5 linked regions of the Oryctolagus cuniculus genome follow. The protein of the gene in region 4 purifies or fractionates together with the protein of the main gene of each other region. This does not show direct contact. Links are inferred from orthologs where the notes say so. Each region holds a gene or a part of one and is shown on either strand. Other genes may lie near its edges.

Region 1 (4,434 bases), on a different chromosome or scaffold from region 4:
TTGGGCCATCTTCAACTGCTTTCCCAAGCCACAGCAGAGAGCTGGATCAGAAGAGGAGCAGCTGGGACACATACTGGTGCCCATATGGGATGCTGGTGCCACAGGCGGATGCTCAACCTTTTACAGCACAGTTGTTTTCATTAGAGGCAATTCCAGAAACCAGTGGCAAGAATATTAGCATGGACAAAAGGGGTCTCTTGGCTTCGGTGTTGCCGAATAACCAGCCTCAAGTGGCAGTGGCTGGGAGGAAAGCTTTATTTACTGGAACACGTCAAGGCGACGGGGAAGGGAGAGCACCCTCGAGAAGCTGGCTTGCTGAGGAGCAGTTGGCCTGGCCTTTCAGAGCAGGGCTTCTCAGCGGACCCGCACCCAGAAGGGAGGAAGGACTCTCCTGCTGCTCAGGCAGCATACTTTCCATACACCGTGACTCAGGCTGATTTCATGTTGCTTTTCTGCACTGACCGGTGGTCTGGCCTCTGAGCAGTGTTGCAAAATAAGCTCCCTGGAGCAGCCCTACAAGCTCAAGCAAGTCAGCTGTTCCCTTCCCTCATACTGCTAATTGCATTATCTGCAATTGCACGCATGTTTTTTTCCTCCCTTAGTTTCCCTTCATTGATGTTTTTTTTTTATTTTCCACTAATATTTCAATACTTACACAGCTAGTATGTGCCTGAGTATAGCTTCATCTTTGACCAGATTTTGTTGGAAGCAAACCACTTGTGAACTCATTTTCTTGATTCATTCCCTAAGTAAGTATACAGTGGCCTTATAATTCGCTTAACACTTTCTAACTCTAGATTATAAGTATTTATTCACACACATATGTTGGTTATTCTGCTTAAACTTCCCGAAAACAGAGTTTACTCATTCCTGTGTCCCATCGATGCGAACATGGTGTCGAGTTAATATCTTGAAATAAAATGAACCATCCAGGGTTGGCTTACCCCCGAGAACTTCAGCATCTCAGCGTAGCTGTCATGAAGCCCTTCTTGATCAGAGCCCTTGCTGGTCCTCAAGGCTTCCGCCCAGCCCCCGTAAGCTGCATCCTCCCCCAGCCAGCTGTCACTCATTGCTTGCCCTTACCCATCTACTGCCCTCAAAGGGAGTTCCTGTTTTGCCAGCAAGGTGAACTCCTCACCAATTTCAAGCTGTGGGTCACACTCAGGTCATCTGCTTAATGTTGTAAACTCCATAAGTAGGGGCCAGCTCTGCCTAGCCCAGTGCGTCCTCCCCAGTGTCTGAAAAGCAGGGAAGGACAGGCTCAGGAAGCTTCGTCAATACAGTAAGAACATTTTATTGGTTCTAGAAGGCAGTGGCACCCGTTAAGAGATACCTAGCCGAAGAGGCTATGGGCAGTTGTGTTTTAGAAAATCATGCTTCTCGCTGTGATTGCAGAAGGCAAGACTGGCCCTCAGAAATCCCTCAGAGTAAGCAGGAGTGACGGGAGCCCGATGTGAGGCGACATCAGTGAGGTTCACGGGGCACAGGAGGATCTGAGTTTGCAGGAAGTGGTGATCCACGCGGTGCTGTGACTGAGGGCACCTAACGATGACTTCCTCGTTCTGACCTCACTCAGCGGCTGGCGAAAGCTGGAATGTGCACACGCTTTTATACTTCTACGTTTCCCTGTGGATCGACCACCAACTAACCTTTGTTTTGCAATGTATTAACAGTGCTACAAGAACACCTCGTATGTGGGAAGAGCAATGCACGCATGAATGAATGCAGCCAAAATCCTAATGGGCAGTTCTGTGATCCAGTGAGCGCTGCTACGTACGACAGCAGCGGACAGCCTACATGTCTCACGCTCTACACGCCGCGGTGGAAAGCCAGAGGAAACTGCCTGGCCGGCTCCTGTCGGCCTTTTGTGCGACTAGGAAGCGGACAATAAAGTTAATTTGAGCGTCGACGTGCCCGGACGTGGCCCCGCCTCCTCACCCGGAGCTCCCATTGGTAGGCGCTTGCCGGCGGCCGCCGTTCTGAAGCTCCGATTGGCCAAGGCCGCCGTCACTCCGTAGCGTCGCCGCGCCCGCCCGCCCTCTCGCCGCGTCGCCGGTGCCTGCGCCGCCTGCTTCTCCTCGCTTCTCTTCTCCCGGCTGAGGCCCGGGGGACCAGAGCGAGAAGCGGGGACCATGTTCCGACGCAAGCTGACGGCTCTGGACTACCACAACCCTTCTGGCTTCAACTGCAAAGGTGAGGCGGCGGCCCGGGGCCGGCGGCGGTCCCTCCCCGAGCGTCCCCACCCTGCCTCCTCACCGGGACCCTCGGCGGCCTTGGCTGCCCCTGGGTGCCCCGGGGCCGCTCCCCGGGCTAAGGAGCCCCCTCTCCCGGCCCTGCCTCGGCGCCGACACTTTCTGCACTTGCTAAACTGCTGCCGCCACCCGGCCTTGGCACACCCAACGGGAGGCTTTCGTTGTTTTCTCACTTAAGCGGGGGTCGTTAGGCTGTACCTGGGGCACCTGCTGGGGGCCCGCGGCGCGCTGGGTTCTGGGGAGGGTGCAGAGGGGGTCACGGGCTGCAGCAGCCGAGCTCCAGGAGTGGGAGGCCCGGCCCAGGGAGCAGCCGCAGAGAGCAGGCGCTGAGGCCCGGGCGGGGCGGGGGGCGCGGGCTCGGGGGGTCGCACGGGGCGTGCACGGAAGTGAAGTAGCCCCTAAGCGGGCAGGCTGCGTCGCGAACACCGGAGTGTTGGGGGATGTTCCTGCGTTGAAGTCTTTACAAAGTCGTGTTCCTGCTGGCCTCCGAGAGGGACCCCCGAGTCCAGCTTGCGGCGCGGCGCTCAGAGCACCGCAGGCGGCCTGCTGAAACCGATTTCCGAGCCGACTACGTGCTGGTTTTTTCCGTCTTGCGTAGAAGCGTAGCAAACGGTAGTGGTGTGTTTTTCCACTTTGCCTTTTACTTAGTGGACAAGGGTCCGTGGCGCTGTAGCTCAAATGTGGGTGTGAACCTTTGCGCCCCAGTTTGCTCGTCTGTGAAATGGGGCTATTACCCGTATCATAAGGGTGTGTTGAAAGGGGGTGGGCTGAAATCGTGTACGAGGTGCCCTTAATGTGGGAGTAACCTTCCGTGATACCTGCTGTCTTCCCTAAGTTTTGTCATTTGATCTGTTATTCCTTATTTCATTTTTCCTTATTAATTCTGTGGCAAAAATTAAGCCTTAAGTAGTCTCGTCTCCCCCTGAAAGGAACCGGAATATTAATAACATTAAAACAGCGCAGCTCTATGCTAGACACTTTGTTCGTCTTCACATAAGCTTCCCGGCGATGCCAGATACGTGCTAATATTATTAGCCCATGGAGTAGGTGGAAGACTCTGGAGCACAGAGACTATAGGTGGTGTCCCCAGATCCGCGTAACCATAGAACCCAGAATCTGAACCCAGGCCGGGACGGGAACAGATGATTGTTACTGTCTGGCTCCCGTCTGTACTTCCGACTCGTACTTCTGTCAGCTCCATGAACTTAGTATCTTGGGGTTGAGAAAAGTCCACGAGACCAGTTATCTGTGGAGGAGGAAGTGTTCTGGGGAATACGTGAAAGTATTCTGGTGAATATTTCTGGTGACTTGGTGACTTTTTGTTGCAGATGAAACAGAATTTAGAAACTTCATCGTTTGGCTTGAAGATCAGAAAATCAGACACTACAAGATTGAAGACAGAGGGAACTTAAGAAACATCCACAGCAGCGACTGGCCCAAGTTCTTTGAAAAGGTAACGAGTCAGGGAAGTAGAAGCAAAGCAGAGCTGCGTGGAAGCAAGCTTGCGATGACTCGTCCTTGGACGACAGTGATCGTCGTTGGAAACGCGGACTTCAGTGGTTCCGGTTTTTTTTAACTGTGTTTCTTTTTTTTAAGATTTTATTTATTTATTTGAGAGGTAGAGTTATAGACAGAGAGAGACAGAAAGCTCTGTCATCCATTGTTTAAATGGCTCCAACGGCCAGAGCTGCGCCGATCCAAAGCCAGGAGCCTCCTCCTGGTCTCCCATGGGGTGCAGGGCCCAAGGACCTGGGCCATCCTCCACTGCACTCTCGGGCCACAGCAGAGAGCTGGACGAGAAGAGGAGCACCCGGGACTAGAACCTGGTGCTCATATAGGATGCCAGCGCTGCAGGTGGAGGCTTAACCTACTATGCCAGCGCACCGGCCCTGTCTGTGTTTCTTTTGATTCTAGAGAGAATGATATCCCTTCCTACCAAGCCTGAATACTACATAGAAATAATTTCCTCTGGAAATATTGTGAAGCTTCTTAAATAGTGATATGTAGTCTTTGATTTAATGGCCAAAATCAGATTTTTTACATTACACTAAAAGTGCAGTAATAATACACTTTTTAAAAAAATTTGACAGGTAGAGTTATAGACAGTGAGACAGAGAGAAAGGCCTTCCATTGGTTCACTCCCCAAATGGCTGCTACGGCCGGAGTTACGCCAATCCGAAGC
Region 2 (4,659 bases), on a different chromosome or scaffold from region 4:
CTACTCTCATGTGCACCCTTCCTAATATCAGCCACAGGACTTAATAAGCCTCAAATTTATGAATTTAAACTTTAACAAAGTACCCGGCCCTCTGAAAAAAATAACACTTGTGGCACTACTCCGCACAGGCCTGCGATCAACACAAAGCCGCCCAACTCACGCCCTCTCCTCATCCTCCTTCCAGGCAGCTCCAATAAGCTCACTGGAGTACACTGACCTTTGAGCTCAGTGTCTTGAAGATACCCTCGTAGGTGGTGCCATTCTTCACTTTTACGTCACAAGTGGAGCCCTGCGAGGGAGCGAGAAGCAAGTAGAGTGTCTCAGCAAATGGATCCATCACACTCCTCAATCAACTGAAGGGTGAGCCCCCACTCACCACAACAGCTGTAAGGAAATGCAGCATTCTGGAATTGTTATAGACACCTTCAAACACCTGTCAGGAGGGGGAAACAGAGGAGCAGCCGTCAACACCTCACTGTGGCTCTAAATGGCCACACTCTACTTCTGCCCACCTTGGACATGCCAGGCCCCTAGCCCTGCTGAGCCCATCTGACTACCTCTGCACCGAATCTGCCCTGTACTCCCAAGTAGTTGTCTTTTAGGTCATGGGGGGGGGGGGCACTCACAGGTGACTGTGGGGGTCCCTTTCCTGTGCTCTGTCCCCTGTAAGAAAAGGAAACAAGAAACACATTACTTCACTGTTCAAGCCCCCTACGCACTGATGAACGACACACTCCAGAACCAAGTACCGTGTGAAGGATCTGATTTAAGCTACGAGCCCATCAATCAGCAAGATTTCCCAACTCTCACTTAGAAAGAATAGGTATGAAATGTCAGCAACACATTTCTTCCAAATGCCAGTAAAAAAGACCTCGATCAGAAATAACTGTCTGTTGCTCTAAGAGCCAAAGCAATACAAGCTTCCCACTTCCTCCACGGGGCCAGGCTGCACGCTTCCAACAGGCCAGTGCCTGGCGCCGGATAACCAGTAACCCACCGCAGGGGACAGCTCCGGAGCACGGATCCCGAACTACCTAGCTCAGGCGCATTATCTTCCGAACGGGAAAGAATCATTTTCACCCCCCTTACAACCCAGACCACGGAGAGGTGGGGAGTGGGGTCATCACCTCCCCACCTCACCCCTTCGACCTCCTGACTCATTCGGCCCGTTACCCACTCTGCGGGCCTCACCAATCGCCAGGTTAACACTGCTCCTCGATGGCTGATGTAACCGGCGGTAGAGGAGGGCGATGAGGGGGCCGTTGGCGGGGCTGGGGGACAGCGCAGCCGCAAAAGCCATCCACCGGGAGGCCTCGCCCGGTCTGCGCCTGCGCACTAAAACCCACGGGCCTCTTCCCAATCCCCCCTCCCGCGATCCGCACGCACTGCGCCTGCGTGTGCCGCCACTCTCGATTCCATGAACACGCACGCACGCAGAGACACACACACATACACACACAAGAACAGGGGCAGGGCGGCTGCTGCTTGTTCACGAACACCAGATGAGCCGCTCCACGCACTCACGGCCCCAGCCCTACTGCTACCGGGGCACGCGATAGCCCGGGTCATGAGACAGCGCATCCGCGCGCACGTCCGGAAGGGCGGGAGCGCGCGCGCCGGAGCTCCCCGGCCCGCAGTCCTCGAGCCCCCGCCCGCCCCGCTCCCCTCCAACTGGCCAGCCCGGGAAGGGGAGGTAGCAACCCGCTCCCAAGTCCCTCCCTCCCCATTGGCCAAACTGTGGGCCGCGCGCCCCCCTCCATTGGCTACGGCCGGGGACCCCTTCCCGCAGCTGACTCCCCATTGGCTGCAGCCGGGGACCGCGAGACCCTTCGTGGTAATGGAGCCGGGGACCCCGATCACCTCTTCGGCCCCCCCCACGCCCCGTTCCGACGGCGCCGGCGGGGTGCGCCCCGCCGCCCCTCGGGTCCCGGGCCCTGAGCACGGCCCGAGGCCCGGGAGCTGAGCACAGCCCCCAGACGCCCGCGGGGGCCGGCTGGGAAGCGAGGGGGGACCCTCCCTGGTTTCACGGGGGTTGCCGCCCCCTCCCTGCGCCCCTCCAAGGTGCCGGGCTGGGGCCCGCCCCGCCGGCACCGAGCCGCTGCCTCCTCCCTCGGCCCACCCCGCCTCACCTGGCGCTGCCGATGGCGCCGGCCCCTGGCCTCTCCTGATGCGGCGGCGGCTGCTGCGGCGGCGGCGGCGGCTGCGGCGCCAGGATGCCTTCAGCTCCCCGGCGGAGTCCGGTGCCGGCAGCGGCCGCAGGCCCCAGGCAGGGGGAGGCGGCGGCGGGAGGCCCCGGCGGAGTCGCGGCGGCGGCGGCGGCCAGCGGCCCCGGGAGGCCGCCGTTGGGAGGGCTGGTGCCCCCGGGAGGCCGGCGGGCCACGGCCTGTTGCGTGGGGGGCGGCTGCTGGGGCTGAGAGGTCTGTTGTGGCGGCTGAGGCTTCAACATGATGGCAGCGTCCGGAAGGGGAATTAGAGGGAAGGGAGGGGAGGAGAGGGGGGCCGGGGCTGGACCCCCCCGGCGGAGAGCGCGGGAAGCGAAGGGGACTGGGAAGCCGGGGACCCGCCGTTGGCGGGCGGGGGCGGGGAGCCCCGCGGTGTCGGGGGTGGCTGGAGAAGACCGCGGCGCGAGGAAGCGCCGCGAGGCGGAAGGGGAGGGGGTCTCGCGGGCCGGAGGAAAACGAGAGGGCGCGAGCCGGCCCTGCGCGCGTGCGCGTCGCCGGGGGAAGGGGAGGGCGGGAGCTCCCGGAGGGGGAGGGGCGGCGGCGGCCGGCGCGAGGGGCTGGCGCGCGCCGGGCGGTTAGCTCCGGGAGAAGCGGGGTGGGGGGGGCGGAATCGGTAAGTCTCGCACCCGTAGCCCTCAGGGTGGGTCGGGAGCAGCGCGGGCGCTCACGCGCACCCAGGATTTAGGGTCTCTGGGTCTCAAACCGCCCTAGAGGCTGGCGCCTGCTGTCGCTTCACAATGAGCGTGTGAGGCGCTGGGGGAGGAGCCGAAGAAGCGGCGACGAAGATCCGGCTGCCCCGCCCACGCCGCCGGCGTCACGTCAGGATGCCTCCGCAGCGACGTGAGCGGTCACGGCGTAGCGTGAGGTTCTTCCGCCGCTGGGGCGCTTGTGGGCGGAGTCTCCAGTGCCCAGGAAAAAAAAAAAAAAAAAGATCCCGGACTGCAAAAACCTAGCAGTTGCTCATTTAGGCAAGCGGTGGTTTTTTTATTTTTTATTATTTATTTATTTTTAAGGAGCTGCTTACTCTCCTCCGCATTTACTGTCAGTAAAAGCCGGATGAGAATTACGATGATTCGTTTGAACGTGTTCATCCTTGCAGATAGATCTATGCCTAATCCTAAATTGTTTTAAATCTCAGTGGTCTTTAAACGTAAGCTGCTTCTCCTTGCCTGAGAATGAGCCCTTAGAACTTTAGTAAAAGAGACTCTCTGAAGGCCAAAATTTCTAGGGTCCACTTCAAAATCCTCCACCCAGCTCTGCAGTAAAGACACCTCCGGTCGTTAACAAGGTCCGGACTTGGGTGTCGATGTTGGAGCGCAGCAGGTTCGGCCGTGGCAGGCATCTGGGGCGCCGGCTCCAGCCCCAGCTGCTCCACTTCCCATCCAGCTCCCTGCTCCCGTGCCTGGGAAAGCAGCAGCAGGTGGCCCGAGTCCTTCCCGGCTTCACAGGAGCCTTAGCAGGGTGGGTTTGTCGGAGCGCTAAGGGCGTGGGTGGCAATTCTGCAAGTGCTCTGGGGGTATCGTAGGACTGAGCGCACAGGTGAATGAATGTCTGGATCTTCTCGAGAGCCAGGGATCCCACGGGGGAAGAACAGAGACCCGAATACAGAAGAGGGGAAGGAGCAAACAGCTGGAGGTGTCGGGGGGAACCGGGGCATGCGAGCTCGCTCTCTCTGTAGCTCTGCCTTTCAAATAAAATATTTTTTAAATGGGGAAAATTGATGAATTTGGTATATAGAGTATTGTATCCAGGATAAATTACCTGACTCTGATAACTGTGATAGACAGGTGAGGGCGTATGCTTAATAAATATACTCTGAAATGAAAAAAATAAAAATACAAAAAAGAAAAAGAAAAAAACATGTAAAGTGAAGTATTGTAAGGCATGGGAGTACTCTCAAATGGTTGACAGTTCTATACAAGTATATATCGTAATCACAGAGAAAATGCATAGTGGCCAAGTGTCAACAGTTGGTGACTTGAGGTAGGTGTTGTCTGAAGTTATTTGTAATAGCCTCTCACCTTCTGAGCAAATCTGAACTCATTTTCGAAATACAAAACCAGACAAATAAATAGTAAAAATTATCTGACAGCCCCGCAGCAGGGAAGGGAGTGAGGGCAAGCCGCCCGCCCGAGTCTCCATGCTGAACACCTTCCAGTGCACGGGTAAGTTGGGTGACGGCCGGCGCTCAGCATCCAGGGCTCACTGTGTTTCATTCCAGTGGGGCCGCGGTGCTCCCAGCTTGAGAGTCCCGGGCCGCCAGGACCCCGTTCACCCTACAAACCACGAGGCCACGTTCCTCACCTGAGAGCCGGGAAGGGCGCGGGGCTGGGCAGTCGACCGGGTGCCCTGCAGGAAGAGTCACTCCCCTGATGACTCAAGGAGCTGCTCAAAGCATCGCACAAAGTTGCCAAGACAGGGAGCAAAGCTTCCCAGG
Region 3 (3,008 bases), on a different chromosome or scaffold from region 4:
AGTTTAGTAAAAGGGTGTTCCAAGTCTTGATTTTTTTGTTTTAAGCGGTAATAGCAGCAAGAATCACTCTTGTTACTTCTTTTGCTAGCTGATGTGTTCATGACTTTCAAGGGCCATTAAAAAATAAATAACTTCCAGTTTTGGCAAGCAGAGCTGGGGTACTTGCGGGACTCTGCAAACAGCATGTGGAATTATGGACAGCCCCAGGTTCCTACAGTGCCTCTACTCGGGCCAAGTATCTTCCACTGCAAGTGAGCTGTTAGCATTCCTATTGGATGTTACAAGAAATCAACGTATATCGTTTAAAAACAAAATAAGTGAACTTCTAGTTTTCTGTGCTTCCAGCTGGTAGAAGCAGGAGCAGGGGGGAGGGGATCTGGCCCTTCGGCTCCTCCAGGGCAGCCTTACAGCTGCTGGTGGTGGTGGGCTTGTACTGTAAGAGAGAAGAGTGAGCATTTAAACAGAACGCTGCAGCACGGCCCACGAGCCCAGAGTCCGCAGCGCGTGCCTGCATCTAGCCTTGGCTAGCTAGGAGGAGACTCCAAGTTTAATTCACTGCCCCCCTCCCAATCTGCATCACGTGGGGAGGGCTGGGTGGGTGGGGGGGTGGGTAGATAGAAACAAGCCAGTCAGACATGAAACCACTTCAGATAAACTCCCAGAAGACTTGTTGCTCATGGGGTAGGAAAAAAGGCCTTCACATACCCCCTCCCTCATATTAGCCAAGCACCAGGAAGACCGTCCACGACCGCCATGGCAGCCATCAGTACTGCAGAACGACCACGGGGCACTCCTGCTGTCAGGACGGAGGCTGCAGCTGACCCTGCACTCGAAACCAGTCCACACAGCACTTGCTCATCACTGGTCTGTTCCAAGCTACAATCAGATTCGGCCATGGTAATAACCCCCCACGTGTCCAACGGTCGGGACGCAGGACGGAACCACGGCCCTGTCCAGCCTGTCATAACCAGGAAGGCCAACTGTGCCCTAGGCATGCATCAGCTACCCAGAATGCTGCTGCTGCTTCTCATCAAGTCAAATCCTGGACACCATCAAAACACACAGACTCGGCCCTGACACGGAACTGACGGTCACGGTCCCTCCTGCGCACGCTTGCATGGGGCTTGCTAGTTCTCAGGTGTGAGGCTGGAAGCACTGGCCCTGCCTGCCATTCGACCTGTGCGAGCAGAATGCTTGGGGTGCCCCGGCGGCCCCTGCACACACACGCCTCACCTGAAGGGTGCGTCATATAGGGGAAATGCGCTGTTGTCGAGACTGGAATGGGCTGTAGTGCACTTTGAGCGAGGGCGGCCTGGGGACCGCCGGGTGGCTGTGTCGTCATTAGCATCATTGGCGCATGGGCAGTTGGATGAGAAGGAACCATTCCTGACTGTACATGAGCCTGAAACAGAGAGCTCTTTTACGCATACAGGCAACATCTCCGGCTTAAACAATATGTCAACTGTGTTCCTTTCACTGGGCTGGGAGTCTCAGGAAAGGGCAGCAGCAGGCCCAGGCCCCCTTTCTTTTCTCTGGGGACACTCCTTAGTTCACCTTTTTGGCAGCTCCTGCAAGGCTGGAGGAGCCTAGATAAAACATCAGGGCCCCAATGACTGGGTCATTAAACTCTGAGCACAGAACTCATGTGTGGGCCAAGGTCTTCAACAAGAGCAGACCCCTGATCCAAGAACAGCTTTCTCAACTGAGCAACGCAAGACCCGATGATGCTTCCGCAGCGGGCCTCCGGGGGCCTGAGCGGGTGCTGCAGAGCACACCCCTTGCAAACAGCAAAGCAGGGGCTGTCCGCTGTGCCAGTGCGCGGTTCTCCGCCCGCTCCTTGTCTGCCTGTCTCCCTCTGCTTGTGGCCTGCTCCCCCAGGCAGGAAAAAGAAACGTGGCTTCCTTCACTCTAGAGAACATGCTGACTGGGCAGGAGGAGGAGCAGGTGCAGTCAGGGCTCCCGTGAGATGGAAGGAATCCTCTGCAGTGACCTGGGCCAGCAGTCTACCAGTGTCTACCGAGGGACGGGGAGTCCGAGTAGGAAAGGCAGCTGCAGGCAGCCCACGGCAACACTCACTTTCTGCCTCCCACACTGGGCACGGCTCGAGACCGGGACAAGCCTGCACCAAACACTGCTTCTGCTCCCTCACAAATTCAAACGGGCCCAGGACCTACTTGGGCTTCCCTGGGTTGACCTTTTGCTCTTTCTGCACAGAAGCACAAACGTGAGGTTGCAGGGACCTCTCTTGCAGGGAAGCTCACATACCTACTTAGCCACCAGCCTCGGCTAGACACCTACAGGACCCCAGCTCCCATGCAGCTCATTCCACCACACCGTGCTGGTCCACACTGACCAGAACCAGCTCCCCGCCGGCTCCCAGAAGCACACCAACTGCAGTGCACTGCCCCGCAGAACTACCCTCGGCAGGCGAGGCCGCCCGACTCCCCGGAGCTGCGGCCCCCCAGTCAGACTGAGTCGCATCCAGCCCGTCCCTCACTAGCACCACGCTGGAGCACTGCCTGGCAGGAAGCCTCAGAGTTGGTATGAAAGGAGCAGAGACGTCCGACACAGCCACCTCGCCTTGCCTAGCCCTGGGAGGGCCGCCAGGACGGCGTCAGAGCCCACCCTCAGCACGGCTCTTCGGCCACCTCAGCCCTCGCCAGCAGCAGGTGCACAGAGCCACCCCTGACGGCAGCCAGCCTGCCAACCCTGAGCAGCTCCCTGCAGGGGAGCTCCCAAGTGCTTCCAGAGCTGCTCCTCAAGAGAAAATGAGAACACCTGGAGCTTCCAGCGTCTCACTCACTGCACCAATGGCCAAGGTCAGGACCCTCACAAAGTACAGCACACGGTCCAAGTGGGCATACGGGTCGTCGGGGGGATGACTGGTGTGATGTCTCTGGAACTCCAGGACTCCCACCTTGGAGGGCTGAGTCTGAAGTCCATGATCCCTGCCAAGCTTGCGTGTGTGTGTGTGCGTGCGTGCACGCGGAGACAAGAAATGTATGTAC
Region 4 (4,580 bases):
ATATATTTTAAAACTTCACATCAGCAACCCTCCGTTTCAGCTAATGATTTGTATAAGACTAATAAATTTAGAGAAGTCATCACTTTTTCACTCACTAATATTGTTACAACTTATATCAAAGAGTCAAGAATGAAACATTTTTCTTTCAAAATTGACTTATTAAGGACTGCTTTTTTTGTTTAGCACTTTCAACAACCCTGTGAGAAAAATATAAATACTCCATTTTTATTATAATGATGTGATTGTACAGAATATATAAACCAAAGGAATTTCAACTGGCTACATTCTATCTTTGCACATCCTGCTTAATTGACTAGTCAAATAGTAATATGGGTTTGGACATGCCTCAGTCTCAAAATCTAGTTCATACCCATCAACCTTGAGATCTTTCGCAGATCATTAAACCTCCAAACCCCAGTGTTCCCATCTGTAAGATGCAAGTTACATTTACATAGCTTTGGGATAACTGCACCATAATGTGATTGCAGGGGTAGCACCATGCCAGACACACCTTAGGCTTCTAACAACCTTTCTCACAGCAGAGGATGCAAAATAAGGGGCAAAATTAGGGACTAAATTGCAGCCATCTGGTGAGTGAACCAGTCGATGGAAGATACGTCTTTCTCTCGCTCTGTAACTTCGCCTTTCAAATACTAAATCTTTAAAAAAAAATACTACTAAGAGTAGGGAGAATTTATGCATTAGGAAAATGAGAACCATAAAATAAAATCTGGTACCAATGTGAAAACTCTTTAATTAAAAGCCTACACAGTATAACCTATGCCAACTTATGGCTAAATATAATAATTTTCTAAAAATCCCATCACTTTGAAAACACTTTTCCCTCATCTGTCGTTCATTTTTAAGCACACATCCAACGGATAACCGCCACGAAATCATAACCCACCGTGAGGTGAACGTTAACATCGGCAAATGATGTCAAAATGCAGTGATATTACTACGTGGATTCGAATGTATTCTATTCGGTCTGGACTGAAGCCCTTTCCCCGCCTCAAGATGCTTAGTGACGGGGAAGCACTAAGAAGTCAGGCGGAGAACGCTTGAGGAAAACCACGTAACTTTTAAAATACATCCGTTTCAAAGGAAGGGGAACTCCTCCCTAGCCGTGAAATCCAGTCACAAGGAAATCAAATGGCGCGTTCTCTTCTGGGCACTTGGGCTGGCTACCTCTGTCCTGGGCCATGAGACGGGAGCATAGGTGAGCGTTCCCCTTCTTCTTGACCACAGCCAAGGTTGGGACACGCGGGCTGCCTGCGGGGAACCACCTGCCCACTGCCCTGACCGCAGGGACTCCGCTCCACAGCCCACAGCCTCTCCAGCCCAGAGGTAACACTCCCCGGCAAGCTCCGCCCCGGCCCGCCTCGCCCCAAGACTCGCACATGCGTACACGCACTAAGGAGAGCTCCGCGCGCTGCCCAAGCCCAGCTGCCACGCAGCCAGTCCTTCTGCCCTTCTTCGGGAAGCCGGCTTCACTCCTCAGTAATACGCATGTGTAAACCTGTGTGGCCGGGGATCCTTTAGCAGACAGGGGAGGGGCAGTAGGCGGGACCTCGCTTCTTGCGCACGCTCGGGACATGCGCAGTGCAGGCGCTGAGGCGCCAGCTGTCGATTTGGAAGTTCCGGGGAGAGAGCGCATGCGCGAGGGTACGCGTTGCCGGCGAAGAGGGGAGCCTGACGACTCGGAAATTTGAATACCACAGTAGCATGGAGTGTGACCTCATGGAGACTGACATCTTGGAGTCGTTGGAAGACCTAGGGTAAGACTGCCAGGGCACGGGTCCCCCGAGCCTCACACTGTCGGTCCCCGGGGAACACCCCTGCGCCCCAGTGAGACACCTGCCTCTCCACGCCGCACCCGGTGGCTCTAGCTGTGGCTTTCCAATAGCCCCAGTACCCCAGCGCCGCGTCCACTTCTGTCCTGATGGCTCGGGGCCCCGCAGCACCAACGCCCCTAGGCCTGTCCTGTGCTCCCTGCAGTCGAGTTACCCCGCGGCATTTGTCAGTCATGCGTGTCATTGTCTGGGCTCGGTCTCGCCACCCCCACTCCCCGAGTTTCTTCTCTTGCTCCTTATCCTCCTGCTGTACCCGCTCCTCTCAAGAGTAGATTCTCTGTCTTCATGCTCGTCCTCCAAATTTCCTGTTCTGCCCGTGCTCCCCCACCCTGCTTCTTTCAAAAATTCTCCTTTGCTCAGTCATCTCTGCGTGCAGCCAGGCTTGCCCAAGCCACATGTCTGGACGCTGCATCCGTTCCGCTAGCCTGCTTACTTGGGCACCTAACCTGGCACCACCTCGCTGGGATCCACTGGCAGCTCCTAGTGATTTTCTGACACCCTGTCTCCGTGGAGCACCATTAGCCACTTCATCTTTACCCACTAAGAATCAACATGTTTGTTTTGCAAACATGCAAAAAAACAAACATGTAAAACTGCATCTGACAGTTACCCAACCATAATTCATTAATATCTAGAAGTTGGAAATAGGGCTTATCTCACTGGGTCACCCGGATCAAATGTACTGTATTAAATTTGAGAACTTAGAACCTCTTGGGCTAAATGAGGTTCTAGGCACAAATTGTATGATTAACTATTTGCCTATAAGTTTGGTGTAAAAAAAAAAAAGTACTGGTTTAGCTAGTTGTGTTATAAGTAAGAGCTCTTTTGTCAAAACTTTGCCTTAGGCTTTCCAATGATGTGCAGCCCTTTTATAGAAACCCTTTTTAGGAAAGGAAACTGAGCGTTCCCAAAGCCTTCTAATTTAAATTTCTTGCTGTCCTGGTAGAAGTTTTTAGGAAAGGAAATGGACCTATTAATCATCCTTATTTGTCAAAATGGGTTACCATTGTTCCCTTCCATGAAACTTAAGCTTTCCGGAATATACTGGACTTTGGATGTGAGGAAAATAGTCCTTGTATGTGGACATCTCAAACTGAGTTGCTCCCTCACCTGTAACCAGTCATTCAGAAGACATTTGTGACGAACCCTTCCCCTTCTGCCTGTGTCGCACTGGGTGCTTAAGGGTACAGGGTGAGGTGAAAGAGAGGTTCACAGAATACTATGAAAATAATATACTGTGAGGAGCACCAAGGAGGGTCTCTTTTGTAACTTTCTTAACAGTATTTCTTACAAAAGAATGTAAAATCTGACCAGTATACAAAAAGCTCATGGAAAATGCATGATTTCAAAAAATATTTGCAGTAAAATAAACCTATCTTTTAGAGAAGTACCCTTGTGTGTATTAAAGTTATTTTGAGTGATAGAATCTTTGTTTTTTAATTTTTACTTAAGGTATACAAATTTCATGTATTTCCTATAGACAGATGCAGGAACATAGTGATACCACCCTACCCTTCCTCCACCCGTGCTCACACCACTGTTCCTCCTCCCTCTCCTATTCCCACTCTTAATTTTTACAAAGATCTATTTTCGGTTTACTTTATACTCATGAGATTAACCCTACACTAAGAGTTCACCAAATAGTATGAAGAAAAAAACACTGCTCTTTAATAGGATTGATAGGATCTTAACGTAGGTGATTGGAGTTCATTATTACTGCCATGAATGTTTGATGTTTTAAAAGTACATTGGAATCACAGAGAATTAGGATTCAGATGCACAGTTCATCAGGTGGCCAACAATTATTCAATTAATCTTGACATGTCAATGGTATGATTATGTCTTCTCTTAACACTCACTAAATATAGAAAAATTAATGATTAATTGGAAGGATGTTTAAAGGAAGTCATTAAAAACCTAACCTACTTTATTTCTGCAAAAATTTTTCTACAAAAGATAACCTAAGTTCTATTTCTAAAATGGTAAGATATATAATAGCTATCATTTATTAATGTAGTGTCAGTACTCAATTCAGTTACTTTATTGTACAATAAAGTGAATGCAGAAAAGTTGGTATAATTTAGTAGTGTATGTGATTCTGTCCAATATTCGCATATATTTTGAAGGTAGAAATGCAGTTGTCATTTATCTTTGTGTATTTTTTGAATGGTTCATTGTAAGTTTGAATGGTTCAGTATAAGTTTTTACATGTGCAAATGTATACATTGGTCATCATAACTTATCTTTATTGAAATATTGCTTAATTGCATAAAGAATACATACATGTATTTTTATCTGTAATATATTAGGTATGACTTTATATTCTGAAGTATAACTTCTTACTCACCAGTTACAAGGGCCCCTTGTTGGATGATGGCGCTCTGTCTCAGGCAGTCTCTGCTGGAGCCAGTTCCCCTGAGTTTACCAAACTCTGTGCTTGGCTGGTGTCTGAATTACGAGTGCTCTGTAAACTGGAGGAAAATGTACAAGCAACTAACAGTAAGTAAACATTCACTTGAAGGTGCAAAATGTAAAAATAAGATCATGATATTGTCTAGTTATTAGTACTAATGCTGAAATTTCAGGGTTTTTGTAAATGTAAAGAAAAATTTTGTAGAAGAGTCACAATACTTTTCTCTCATCAATTGTTTTTAGAGATAAAGTGATCCAGAAGTTAAAGACCAGAATATAGTCATATAACTATTAGAAACTTGTGGAGACTAAAAA
Region 5 (3,960 bases), on a different chromosome or scaffold from region 4:
AACCTTTGCAAAGCAGCTCATAGTTTTCAAAATTTACTCTTAATACAAATAAAAATAAATTAGACAGTAAGAATCTTTGTATAAGAAACAAATGAAGTTACCTTTAGTGTGATATACAATAGCAGCCCTCAGGTCAAAAGAACCCCAGCTATCATTCCTTTCTAGGCCTCTCTGGTATCTCTGTTCTTTGGCGGAGCCCAACAAAGTGTTCGTAGGAGAGGCCAGAGGATTTTGATTTTCTATCTCGTAGTCCTTTGAGAGAAACACTAAAGCACCTTGACTACTGGTGTCTGCTTTTTGCAGGTCACCTATATGACTGGGTTCCAAGGATAAGGCTCCACTCTCATTAGTAGTCCCAGATTTTAGAATGTTACTCAGAACTTGAGGACTAGTCCGTTTCTCCAGCTCATAAGCCTTGGGAAACACAGGATGCTCAGTTCCTGAGGGGATTATTTCAGCACCCTGTGAAACCAAAGTGGCAGGATATTCTCCTTGAAATGTCACCTCCACCACTTTATGATCTGATGACTTCCCAATAACAGTCTCAGGGCCAGCACTGGGCTCATTTATAAATGATAAACCCCACTGATTCTGGAAGATATCCCCCAGGTTTTGCTGATCGGTCTGAGAGGGCAGATCCACTTGTGCTGTGCTTAAAAGCACAGTTTGCATATTTGAAGGATAAATAAAAAGGCTAGACTTTATTTGTTCAACAGCTGCTGAAGTTAGACTCACGTCCTGGAGAACTGAATCAGTCCCAGAAGAGATGGGTGTTAAAGTATTAGCAGCAGTAGTTAGCAGTGGCTGACCCCCTGGAGGATACACATTTGCATCAGTCCCCGCTAAGACAGGCCCGTTAGAAAAGCTGGCAGAAGTAACAGATTTCAGTGCTGACATAGGAACCTGGGATAACCGACTTGAAGATTGTGTCTGAGTTTCTCCAGTAGATGATGAAGAGGATGAGGATGAAGATGGTGACACAGAGTTCTGTATAGTTTTGTTGAGGTTTTCCTTAACTTTGCTTGCATAACTTATTTTAGGAACGATTTTAGCACTGCTATTGTCCACTGGAAAAACTGGGGGTGGTTTAAATAGGGTCCACGAGTCCTCTTTGGAGGCAACAGCCGAGGCATGCTTTCCTTTGGGCCGATCATCAAACTTTTTGCTGCTCACACCAGGTTTTATATCTGAGCTTTTCCGAAGCACATCACCCACGGCAGGTTTTCCTCGACTTGTTCCTCCAGGCCCAGGTTCATATTTCCAAACAGGCTTGGAACCATCTACTCGGTTTCCCTTTTGTTCACTATAGTCAGGCTTGAAAGTTTCAAGTCCCTGTTTTAAGGTTGGGACACTGGTCTCTTGTTGCATTATTTTTTCCTGCACTAAATTAAGGTTTTCACAACCCTTGGCACTATTGCGCCTAGCTTTTCTTTTCTTAGGAGTGGTATATCCGCTCTCTGATCCACTACCATCATTATCTGCTCCTTTGCCCATATAACCATTAGCAATATAGCCTGAATTATTTGTTACAACACCATTTGGAATTGCTACAGTATCACTTTTATCTACAGACTGGTTCTCTCCAGATTTGTTTTCATAAGACTTCCCATTCTTTTTGTCCATACTGTTTTTCTGAATGAAATTCTTGGTTTTAATTCCTGCTTTCCCAAAGGTGCTGGCCTTTACAGTCTGCTTCAGGCTAGGGTCTACAACTTGCTGGTTGCCATTGAGGACCCTGGAAATAGGGTTGGTAGCTTCATCAGAACCCAGACTCTTTAAAGATATTTCTCTTTCTCCAGCATTACCATTTAGTTCACCATAGCCTAGAGAAGGGAAAAAAAATTTTTTTTTAAAAATCACAACACATAAATACATTATTATGTAACATTTAAGGACTTTTATTTGCTGTATGTTAGATACTATATATGAGCTATAGTTTTATTATTTCACATCTCTGTAAGACCCTTGTTAGTCCTATTTTACAAGACTGCAAAATGGAATCTACTGTTAAGAGGCAGAAACTGTACCTTGATTCAAACCATAGAAAACATGATTTCTCATCTGACATAATCAATCTACCCATTATAAAAATTTCTTTACAATTAAGGACAGAGCTACCCTCTGGGCAAAAATCATGTTTTACTGATACAGTACTTATTACAAGGAAATGTTCTAATGTAATTTGACTTCAGATCATGCTTTAACACATGGAACTATAACACCTATGTACAAGTGCTTGTAATTCTTATTAAGACATATTTTCTTCATTTTATCATTAGATGAATAGATTCTCATAGAGATGAAGTAACTTTTCCAGATCACAAAGTGGCACAACTGGAAATCTGAACTCTAGCCTGCCTGGAATACATGGTTTTACCACCATGCAATACTGTCTATTCTAGAGATCAGTGAAAAACTACTGTGGAAGCCATCTAATTGCAAACAAAACTACATAAGAGGACATATAATACCACAAGTGTTAGGATATTCAGATTTCATTAAAGACCTTCAACCACCATAAACAGTTAACTCTATTAACTATAGATGATTTAATTGGGCAATCTTACACTCCCTTATTAGTAAAATGGTGTTATTTACCTTTCTACAAAATGTTTACAAAAGCATCCTGAAATCAAACCATTAGAAATAGATATACAATACAAGGATACACACACATTCATTTAAAAACAGCTCTTTTGGGGAGTATGAGTTCAACAGAAACACTTTTAGCTTTATCATTCCATTCTGTTTTTTTCTTCCCCTAATTATTTTAAGACCTTTGGTCTGTGAAGGCTAAAAGGCACATGAGTGTGTGTATTTTTTTAAAAACTTTGTTTTATTTGGAGATATAGGGGGATACTGGATTTTTTTAAAAAAAAGTTTGAGAACCGTTGCTCTAAAATAACTAGGTGTGGAGTAGAACACAATCTAGGATGAGTCACAGACTGGACTAAAATTTTAAGTCACTCATTCTACATCAGGGAAAAAGTTGGTATTAAAGGGCAAATAAAGGTATTTTGCTGCTCACACCAGGTTTTATATCTGAGCTTTTCCGAAGCATATCACTGCGTGACTTCTAGAAAATAACTGTAGAAAACATACTCAAGTGAGAAGGGGAGAAAGGGAGGGAAGGGAAAAGGGAACATCATTATATTCTTAGGATTGTACCTATGAACTATACTGAACCTGTTAAAAAAGTAAAAAGTAAAACACTCAAGGCATAATCATAAGCAGAAAGGCAAAAAACTTGTTATCATTTTGAAAAAGTTCTTAACTTATATAGGATTAATTTTTATTTTCTGGCTGCTGTGAAGGCTGAGAGACAATCAAATCCAGTTTTTCACAGAAAAATTCTATTAAACAAGAAAGAGACCACTTGCTTAAGTTGTCTCTTAAAGGTTCTTTTTCCTTTACAAAAGTATAGTTTCTCAACAGAGGCTCTCAACATTCTTAACAGACACAACTCACCCCTGGGCATTTTTGTATTAAAAACAAGATCTATACCATTTAACATGCTTAACAAACATTTGTACCTTGAGCCTATTAGTCACAACTTCCGATGTCAAAGGTAAGCTATCTTAAATACCAAAAAAATTCCAATGTCCAAACTAAGCTTAACCAATGCACAGATCTTAAAGTAAAATAAATTTTCTTAAGATTATTAATACTAGAAACCACCAAATAAAGAAAAAATGGCTCAGAAACCACTATACTCCCACCCTCAAACTTGGATGATAAGAAACATTCCTCAATTTACATGAAAATTTTCCTATGGCTATCTTGTTGGTATGCAAAAAAATACGTGGGAAACGCTTTTCCTTTTAAAGCTTAGCTATTTGAGAAAAACAAGCATTATAGAATTACTAAAATAAATAACTCCTAGTGTTTTTCTTTCGTAGGACTGCTAAGGTAACTCTCCTTCAAATGAACTCAGCAAAACTCGAGTCCTGATAAATCTAG

What was found.
Region 1: the proteins of FAM98A (region 4) and RTRAF purify together in Homo sapiens (affinity purification with mass spectrometry; 4 studies listed by BioGRID and IntAct, with this or other methods). This does not show direct contact. The link is inferred for Oryctolagus cuniculus from reciprocal best matches to the Homo sapiens genes FAM98A and RTRAF.
Region 2: the proteins of FAM98A (region 4) and ATXN2L purify together in Homo sapiens (co-immunoprecipitation; 3 studies listed by BioGRID and IntAct, with this or other methods). This does not show direct contact. The link is inferred for Oryctolagus cuniculus from reciprocal best matches to the Homo sapiens genes FAM98A and ATXN2L.
Region 3: the proteins of FAM98A (region 4) and ATXN2 purify together in Homo sapiens (co-immunoprecipitation; 3 studies listed by BioGRID and IntAct, counting the BioPlex papers as one, with this or other methods). This does not show direct contact. The link is inferred for Oryctolagus cuniculus from reciprocal best matches to the Homo sapiens genes FAM98A and ATXN2.
Region 5: the proteins of FAM98A (region 4) and NUFIP2 purify together in Homo sapiens (co-immunoprecipitation; 3 studies listed by BioGRID and IntAct, with this or other methods). This does not show direct contact. The link is inferred for Oryctolagus cuniculus from reciprocal best matches to the Homo sapiens genes FAM98A and NUFIP2.

What each region holds. Positions count from the first base shown.
Region 1 is NC_091443.1:24,285,251-24,289,684, reverse strand, and holds the start of RTRAF (RNA transcription, translation and transport factor protein), read left to right. Parts: upstream 1-1,570; 5' UTR 1,571-2,132; coding exon 2,133-2,193; intron 2,194-3,580; coding exon 3,581-3,705; intron 3,706-4,434. UniProt on the Homo sapiens protein: RNA-binding protein involved in modulation of mRNA transcription by Polymerase II. Component of the tRNA-splicing ligase complex and is required for tRNA ligation.
Region 2 is NC_091450.1:7,673,781-7,678,439, reverse strand, and holds the start of ATXN2L (ataxin-2-like protein), read right to left. Parts: upstream 2,965-4,659; 5' UTR 2,447-2,964; coding exon 2,130-2,446; intron 1,345-2,129; exon of another isoform or gene 1,192-1,344; intron 664-1,191; coding exon 627-663; intron 434-626; coding exon 377-433; intron 290-376; coding exon 218-289; intron 1-217. UniProt on the Homo sapiens protein: Involved in the regulation of stress granule and P-body formation.
Region 3 is NC_091452.1:8,882,202-8,885,209, forward strand, and holds the end of ATXN2 (ataxin-2), read right to left. Parts: intron 1,403-3,008; coding exon 1,031-1,402; 3' UTR 892-1,030; downstream 1-891. UniProt on the Homo sapiens protein: Involved in EGFR trafficking, acting as negative regulator of endocytic EGFR internalization at the plasma membrane.
Region 4 is NC_091433.1:169,258,122-169,262,701, forward strand, and holds the start of FAM98A (protein FAM98A), read left to right. Parts: upstream 1-1,537; 5' UTR 1,538-1,725; coding exon 1,726-1,778; intron 1,779-4,203; coding exon 4,204-4,352; intron 4,353-4,580. UniProt on the Homo sapiens protein: Positively stimulates PRMT1-induced protein arginine methylation. Involved in skeletal homeostasis. Positively regulates lysosome peripheral distribution and ruffled border formation in osteoclasts.
Region 5 is NC_091448.1:44,722,350-44,726,309, forward strand, and holds part of NUFIP2 (FMR1-interacting protein NUFIP2), read right to left. Parts: intron 1,824-3,960; coding exon 102-1,823; intron 1-101. UniProt on the Homo sapiens protein: Binds RNA.